2 linked regions of the Xenopus tropicalis genome follow. The protein of the gene in region 2 interacts with the protein of the main gene of each other region in a biochemical or structural test. Links are inferred from orthologs where the notes say so. Each region holds a gene or a part of one and is shown on either strand. Other genes may lie near its edges.

Evidence for each region.
Region 1: the proteins of cdc25b (region 2) and ywhab form a complex in vitro, tested with the Homo sapiens proteins (2 studies listed by BioGRID). The link is inferred for Xenopus tropicalis from reciprocal best matches to the Homo sapiens genes CDC25B and YWHAB.

What each region holds. Positions count from the first base shown.
Region 1 is NC_030686.2:12,511,662-12,515,756, reverse strand, and holds the start of ywhab (14-3-3 protein beta/alpha), read right to left. Parts: upstream 2,802-4,095; 5' UTR 2,714-2,801; intron 1-2,713. UniProt on the Homo sapiens protein: Adapter protein implicated in the regulation of a large spectrum of both general and specialized signaling pathways. Binds to a large number of partners, usually by recognition of a phosphoserine or phosphothreonine motif.
Region 2 is NC_030677.2:15,574,656-15,579,070, forward strand, and holds the start of cdc25b (M-phase inducer phosphatase 2), read right to left. Parts: upstream 2,835-4,415; 5' UTR 2,310-2,834; coding exon 2,125-2,309; intron 154-2,124; coding exon 59-153; intron 1-58. UniProt on the Homo sapiens protein: Tyrosine protein phosphatase which functions as a dosage-dependent inducer of mitotic progression. Directly dephosphorylates CDK1 and stimulates its kinase activity.

The sequences.
Region 1 (4,095 bases), on a different chromosome or scaffold from region 2:
TGCTGGTACATAGAATGCAATGCAGCACTCCAGAACCAAACTGCTTAATCATGGCAAGGCACACTGGGCAGAACGTTTATATTCTCACTCTAAACGTGCCATTATTAATTATTCATATAGCCAAGCATGCCTTTGTTTGATAGACTTTTGAGATAGACTTCTGATTTTTTAAGAGCTGTACACATGAAATATGGATGGGAGTCATAGCAGGATTAAAGGCAGCTTGTCAGGGATCAATACTGACCATCAGCTGAATAAGGAGCCAAGAAATGTATTGATTAAGCGCGGCTTAGGGGCTACATGGGAGATCAGGAAATGTGTGTATAGATTGGCAGACCTTTTCCTATATGGCTGTATATCATCTCACTATATGGGCATATACTCATATCTCTAGATGGATAAATTGGAACAGGTATAGGATCCCTTTAACCCAAAACCCGTTATCCAAAAACCTACGAATTACAGGAAGAGCATCTCCCATAGAGCACATTATAAGTAAATAATTCAAATGTATTTTACCGAGATCCCTTTCTTCTGTATTAAATAGTACTGTGTACTTGATGGGAACTAAGCTAAAATTCTACTGGGTTTATTTAATGGTTAAACTATTTTTTAGCAGGCCTCAAGGTATGGTGACCCAAATAATGGAAAGATCCATTATCTGCAAAGCCAGATAAGTGCCAACTTTATTTAGGAAATACCAACTACCTTCTAGTGGCTGAATGATAAGCCCAAGGGCCCACAGCAACCCTTTGTTATACAGGTATGGGACCTGTTATCCAGAATGCTTAGGACCTGGGGTTTTCCGGATAAGGGATCATTCTGTAATTTGGATCTCCACAATTTAAGTTAAATCATTTAAATATTGGATAAACCCAATGGGTTTGTTTTGCCTCCAGAAAGAATTAATTATATCTTAGTTGGGATCAAGTACAGGTGCTGTTTTATTATTACAGAGAAAAGGGAATCATTTAACCATGAAATAAACCCAATAGTGCTGTTCTGCCCCAATAAGGGGTAATTATATCTTAGTTGGGATCAAGTACAGGTACTGTTTTATTATTACAGAGAAAAGGGAATCATTTAACCATTAAATAAACCCAATAGGGCTGTTCTGCCCCCAATAAGGGGTAATTATATCTTAGTTGGGATCAAGTACAGGTACTGTTTTATTATTACAGAGAAAAGGGAATCATTTAACCATGAAATAAACCCAATAGGGCTGTTCTGCCCCCAATAAGGGGTAATTATATCTTAGTTGGGATCAAGTACAGGTACTGTTTTATTATTACAGAGAAAAGGGAATCATTTAACCATTAAATAAACCCAATAGGGCTGTTCTGCCCCCAATAAGGGGTAATTATATCTTAGTTGGGATCAAGTACAGGTACTGTTTTATTATTACAGAGAAAAGGGAATCATTTAACCATTAAATAAACCCAATAGGGCTGTTCTGCCCCAATAAGGGGTAATTATATCTTAGTTGGGATCAAGTACAGGTACTGTTTTATTATTACATTATTTGCTTATAATGAAGTCTATGGGAGATGGCATTTATGTAATTCGGAACTTTCTGGATAATGGGTTTCCGGATAAGGGATCCCATACCTGTACAAGGATGTTGCTAGTTGCAGTGCTATCTTGTAGATTGTAAGCTCTTTTGGGCAGGGCTCTCTTCACCTCTTGTATCAGTTATTGATTGCTTTATATGTTACTCTGTATGTCCAATGTATGTAACCCACTTATTGTACAGCGCTGCGGAATATGTTGGCGCTTTATAAATAAATGTTAATGTAATGTACAACTATAGATGACATTCTTGGTTTGCATGACAATTTAGCTACCGGATTCAGTAATTGGGATCTAGTGTATGTGAACTGTAGCCCTCAGGCTGCCTAGAAAGTGTAGATAATGATAAATAGGCCTGCATATAGATCAGGGCTTGGAAAGGCTACAAATAAACACCCCATAGAGTTGCTGATCCTGTATAATTGTAGATATCCCCAAATGGAGCATTTGTTTCCCTGATTTGCCACTTCCTGCTGCTGCAGAAATAAAGAGATCACTTCCTGATTGATATTATGAAACACATTGTATATGTATATGAAACCTATTGTATATAAGGTGTGTGCTGGCTGTATACACTCTTCTGCAGCGAATTACAGGGGACTATCTTGGTGCTTTTTCAGTATTGCGGTATTGCTTTGTGACACTATACAAGCATCTGGCCACTAGGTGTCGCTGTTTCAATGACGTCTATAGGTTAAATGAGATATTGCCTACAAAAAGCTTTGGGGCACCGGCAACGAATGACATTAAGGGGTAAAAAAAAAATAATCAATAATGTGCGGTTATAGGTTTTCCATAACAAAGAAAAAAAGTCTATTAATTATATACGTATTTTCCATTTAACAGGGAAAGCATGTAACGGGAAATGCTGGGAGCTGTGTAAGGGCAGGGCTGGGGATAATACGGCTGACAGGGTCGGAAAGAGGCCTACGGATCGGGCGAGGTTACCCTGCGCATCGGAGGGTGTGGGGTACTAAGGGGGCCCCAATGGGGAAAGCGAGCGGATGTTGAGCCCCAGGCGCTGGGGAAAGGGATCCAGGCCGCGCACAGATCCCCGCCCTTGTAAGGAGCGACCCCATAGGCGGCTATAGAATGGCCGCCATCTCCCACACGAATGCACTACGCTCTCTGCCATCGCACGTACCTCAAAAATCCGCGACCTGCCAATAGATTCAGTAATTCGACCCGGGCTAGCTCAGCTTCCCTCACCGTTCTCCTCCTCTCCTGCAGATTCACTGGCCGTTCCACTTCCGTTCCAGCCGCCACTTCCGCTTCCTTCAAGCCCCGCCTCCAAGCCCCTCCCCTCCACCTTTCTCCTTCAGTTCTAAACTCCTGACAGTACAACAAGCACTGGCGGCTTCACTGGAGGGAGGGGAGAAGCGGGGTGACCTCATCGTTTCCTCGGCAACGGGGAGATGACGTCAACCGTCTTAGCAGGAGGGGTGGGAGGAAGCGCGTCTGGGCGGGAAGGGGAGGCAAGTGTCAGCTTGTAGGGGGTTTGAGGCGACACTTTGCGGGGCTTTTGGGCAGAAATCAGGGGGATTAAGCTGCCCTGACACAGTTATGAGTATTATTGAGTTTCTCAATCGTGGGGTATACAGAATGTGTTATTGTGCATTCTGTGGGGAATGAAGGCGTCTAACCTGCTGCAGTCTCCATTTTGTCGTCCGCTTATCTTTCCCCACCCCCTTTGAAAAAAAAAAAAAATCTAGCTTATTCAATTTCAATAAAATGGTGTTGTGAAAATAATCAATGAACTGCTTCGATAAAGCAATAGTTTGGGCGATTGTAACGTGTGCTTCGGGACCTTTGCTGTCAGGCTGACCGAGTGGCCTACACCATTGTCCCTTTGCCTCTAGGGCCCCTGTACAGCCTCATACCGGCCTAGTGATATTGTATTTGTTTCAGAAGCTGCTGGCTGCCTGTGGCCCTTCAAGCTGCAATTATTCTACAGGGGACCCTTGGCACACTGACCTGCAGTTAAAAAAAATATACCACATGTTTAAAGGAAAAGAAACACCAAAAATGAAATTGTTTTAAAGTAATAAAAATATTACATATACAGAAACCCTACTATAGTTTATATAAATACCCTGCTGTGTAGCCCCGGGGGCAGCCATTCCTGCACTGGTACAGCTGGGGTGTTTGCTACAGAAACCCTACTATAGTTTATATAAATACCCTGCTGTGTAGCCCCGGGGGCAGCCATTCCTGCACTGGTACAGCTGGGGTGTTTGCTACAGAAACCCTACTATAGTTTATATAAATACCCCGCTGTGTAGCCCCGGGGGCAGCCATTCCTGCACTGGTACAGCTGGGGTGTTTGCTACAGAAACCCTACTATAGTTTATATAAATACCCCGCTGTGTAGCCCCGGGGGCAGCCGTTCCTGCACTGGTACAGCTGGGGTGTTTGCTACAGAAACCCTACTATAGTTTATATAAATACCCCGCTGTGTAGCCCCGGGGCAGCCATTCCTGCACTGGTACAGCTGGGGTGTTTGCTACAGAAACCCTACTATAGTTT
Region 2 (4,415 bases):
TTTACCACACTTCTATATATATCTGAGGATAAAAAAAACATCATCAATGGATCCTCACCGGAATCGGATGAATCGGAGGACGACGTTCGCGACAGGGAGGTGCACTGAGTCCGGAAGGAGATGCCATGTTTTCTTTTTGGCGTGTCACTTTGGCTGCAGAGAAATAAATATATATATCACCATGAAGCAGAGCATATTACACAGTGCAGAGCGCAGTCCTATACAGCAAACTCCCATTCCCACGCACTCAGGTGATCTCTCTGCTCTTTGGCCAGAACAATGGGGGCTTTCTCCGCAGAAAATATCCCATTTAATCACCAATTACAAACATTTGCACCTCCCCAGGGAAAGGGGACAAAGCCGTTTGTAGAGGAAGCCAAGCCTGATGGTATCCGTTATCTCCCAAAGCTCATTTCACTCTAATTAGGCAAATCCTTGGGGGGAGATGCGGGAAGATGGCAGATGGTAATGGCATAGTCCAAACCACACCAAATGGCACAGATAAGCACAGATCCTATGCGCAGGTATCGGCCCACGAGGCATTGCTACACAGCCCGGGGATGGGACGGAACACAGGACGGAAGCTTTGCACATAAAGGGGAACTTGTCAGCGTTACGAATTTCCAAGACAATGCAACTGTTGCCTTCCAAACTGATATCCAAGTACAGTAGCAGAACAATGTATGGCAGCTCCCACTCTTACGAACCCCTATAATCATAAACTTTGCCTTTTCTCTAGGTACTTACAGTATGAGGCTATAGGTCCACTGATCTGAATGAAAGTACCATTCCTGGGGGGTGAGGGGGTAGTGCGCAGGCGCGGACCCTTAGCCAGAGCAGGCAGGAAATGGCAGGGAAACAGAGAAACCCTTAGGGACAGATCTATTTACTGCATGAAAACAGGCCGCAGTATGTACCACCCAGCAACAGAAGAACCCCCCCCCCAATAACTTGTATCCTGCAGCCTGTACTGCATTTCAGTATGGAAAGCAAAGAAACCCAGGCAGTGGGGGCAGATTTTACCAGAGGCGCAGGGTGTGAAACCTCACTCAGTAACACAAGCTCAGAGCTTTGTTTGAACAATTGTGAAGCCTGACAGCTGATTAACAGCAACTCCCTGCTTCCTTGCCCTGTAGGGCGTACACATTCTCCTGTGTCCCATACAAACAAGGGATACTCAGTACAGAGGGGAGCAAGGCACAGAAGCTTGCAATCTAATTCACACCAGGGTTACAATAGCAGCAGATATAGTGGCCACTTAGTGCCAATGTCTTTAGCATTCTGCCCCTGGCACTGCCATAGGGTGCCACTAACCACACACAGCATGGGGAATATATTCTATTGCAACTTACCACTGCTCTGTGCTGCCATGAATTACCCATCATGCCTTGGCATTGCGCCTAAGGGCTGCCATGAATTACCCATCATGCCTTGGCATTGCGCCTAAGGGCTGCCATGAATTACCCATCATGCCTTGGCATTGCGCCAAAGGGCTGCCATGCTTTACCCATCATGCCTTGGCATTGCGCTAAGGGCTGCCAAGCTTTACCTATCATGCCTTGGCATTGCGCCTAAGGGCTGCCATCCTTAACCCATCATGCCATGGCATTGCTCCAACAGGCTGCCATGCTTTACCTATCATGCCTTGGCATTGCTCCTAAGGACTGCTATGCTTTACCCATCATGCCTTGGCATTGCTCCTAAGGGCTGCCATCCTTAACCCATCATGCCTTGGCATTGCGCCTAAGGGCTGCCATGCTTTACCTATCATGCCTTGGCATTGCTCCTAAGGACTGCTATGCTTTACCCATCATGCCTTGGCATTGCTCCTAAGGGCTGCCATGCTTTACCCATCATACCTTGGCATTGCGCATAAGGGCTGCCATCCTTAACCCATCTTGCCTTGGCATTGACCCTAAGGGCTGCCATGCTTTACCCATCATGCCTTGGCATTGACCCTAAGGGCTGCCATGCTTTACCCATCTTGCCTTGGCATTGACCCTAAGGGCTGCCATGCTTTACCCATCTTGCCTTGGCATTGACCCTAAGGGCTGCCATGCTTTACCCATCATGCCAAGGTACAGTACAAAAGCAATGTATAGTATATTTAAAATGAATTCTCACCTTCCTAGGCCGGCCAGCTTGTTCATGGTGAAAGCCAGACTGGTGACGGGGGACAAGACCCCAGATTCTTGGCACAGTAGGCCCCGGGCTCCAACCATGGCAAAGCCTGGCAGCAGGGTGGGTCTGGGCACAGGGACCTGGCTCCGGCTGGGACTGAAATCATTCAGCAGCTTCTCTAGCTCCATTGTTGGGGGGTCTGGGCTAGGAACTAGGGGTGCAAAGATGGGGTGCAACACAGCAAACTGGGGGGCTGCAAAGAGCAGGCAAAAGTGCAGAGCAATGCAGAGGCCTTTGTATATCCCGGGGTGCAGAGGCTTTAGTAGATCCTTATGCAGAGCAGGAAGTGCAGAGGCTTCAGAGTCACAGAGTCAGAAGTGCAGAGCTTGTTGCAGAACGGGAAAGGTGCTAAGCTGCAAGGGTGCTGATGTCAGGTTCCGGGGTGCAAAGCTGATGTCAGGTTCCGGGGTGCAGAGGCTGTTGCAGATCCTGGGGTGCAGCAGAGGGCAGTATATTGCACATGCAGAGGAGGGGTGGGGGGGCACAAGCAGAAAGAATATACAGCGATGGGATCGGGGGGTTCCAATGTGCCCTGTCCCCTACATGGGCGTCCCTATTTCAGGCAGATCATGGGCAGGGAAAGGAAATAAGAGGCACAGGGGCCCGACAATCGCTTCTCCGCCAGTCTCCAGCTTCTGCCCGCAGTCCCAGCGCTCCGCTCTTATATTCGAAAAATAACACAGCCAGGCGGCAGCGAACAGCCAATGGGAGGGGAGGGGCGTGGCCAGCGGCTGTCATAGACGTAGGCGGGAATCCGGGCTGTCAGTCACAGCCACATGTGTGTAGTGGTACTGTGGGGCTCTGGTACCGCTTTGTTATTATTGTAATTGGTCATCTGCAAAGGGGAACATATACATATATGTATTCATACAATAAAATCTAATCTTCCTGCTGTCCTTATAAATAAATATGAGGATGCTTTGGGGTATTTTGGGTGCAGCCTCTGTATGTTCCAACCCTCTCTCCTCCCCACAGATAAGAGACAGACTGAACTCTAAATAAAATGCAAACATTGTCAGATGAGCTGTTAAAAGCCCCAAAAGCTCACAATCTAGGTGAGAGAGGGAGGGGTTGTAAACCAGAACTCTAAATATTTATAGGGGGGTAAAATAACCTGCTAAATTCTGTAGAAATGTTGGATTTATATTTTAATTTAAGAAAAAAACAGACTTTCACTTACATTTTAGTGCAAGGTTTAGAAGACAAAGGTATATATATATATTGGTGATGTCATCAGTTATAATCAGAGCTTAGTGATGTCATTTCTGTCACATGACTCACTAAAACAAGTATATTTTAATAAATAAAGTACCCCCTGTTGTAAAAAATGAGGGTATTAGAAGTCACCTTCGGCCTTGTACTTTTATATAGTCATGGAACTCCTCAGTGACTTATAATATCCCTATATTTTACAATAGGGGGTACTTTATTCACTATATATTATAAGGAACTCCTCTGTGACTTATAATATCCCTATATGTTACAATAGGGGGTACTTTATTCACTATATATTATAAGGAACTCTAAGTGACTTATAATATCCCTATATGTTACAATAGGGGGCACTTTATTCACTATATATTATAAGGAACTCCTGGGGGACTTATAATATCCCTATATTTTAAAATAGGGGGTACTTTATTGACTATATATTATAAGGAACTCCTCGGTGACATAATATCCCTATATTTTACAATAGGGGGTACGTTATTCACTATATATTATAAGGAACTCCTCAGGGGCTTATAATATCCCTATATGTTACAATAGGGGGCACTTTATTCACTATATATTATAAGGAACTCCTCGGGGACTAACAATATCCCTATATGTTACAATAGGGGGTACTTTATTCACTATATATTATAAGGAATTCCTTGGTGACTTATAATGTCTCTATATTTTACAATAGTGGGTACTTTAGTCACTATATATTTGGTTTACAAACACCAAGAGTGAGTGGAGCGGAGATAATTCCATCCCCCTCTCTGCAGGAAATCTGTAGAACACACAGTGGGAATGTGCAGATATAAATGTGGAAAACATCTTGTAAGAAACAATTAAGCAATCATTATCAACCCTCTGGACTTTTAGGAAAAATATTTTCCAACATAACTGTGAGAAATTTGTGGTAAAACTAATTGCTATTACTATAATCATTTAGAAACAGCAAACATGTATTCAAGCATACTGTTACGTGTAAATACTAACCAATACTACATTTCCCATCATCC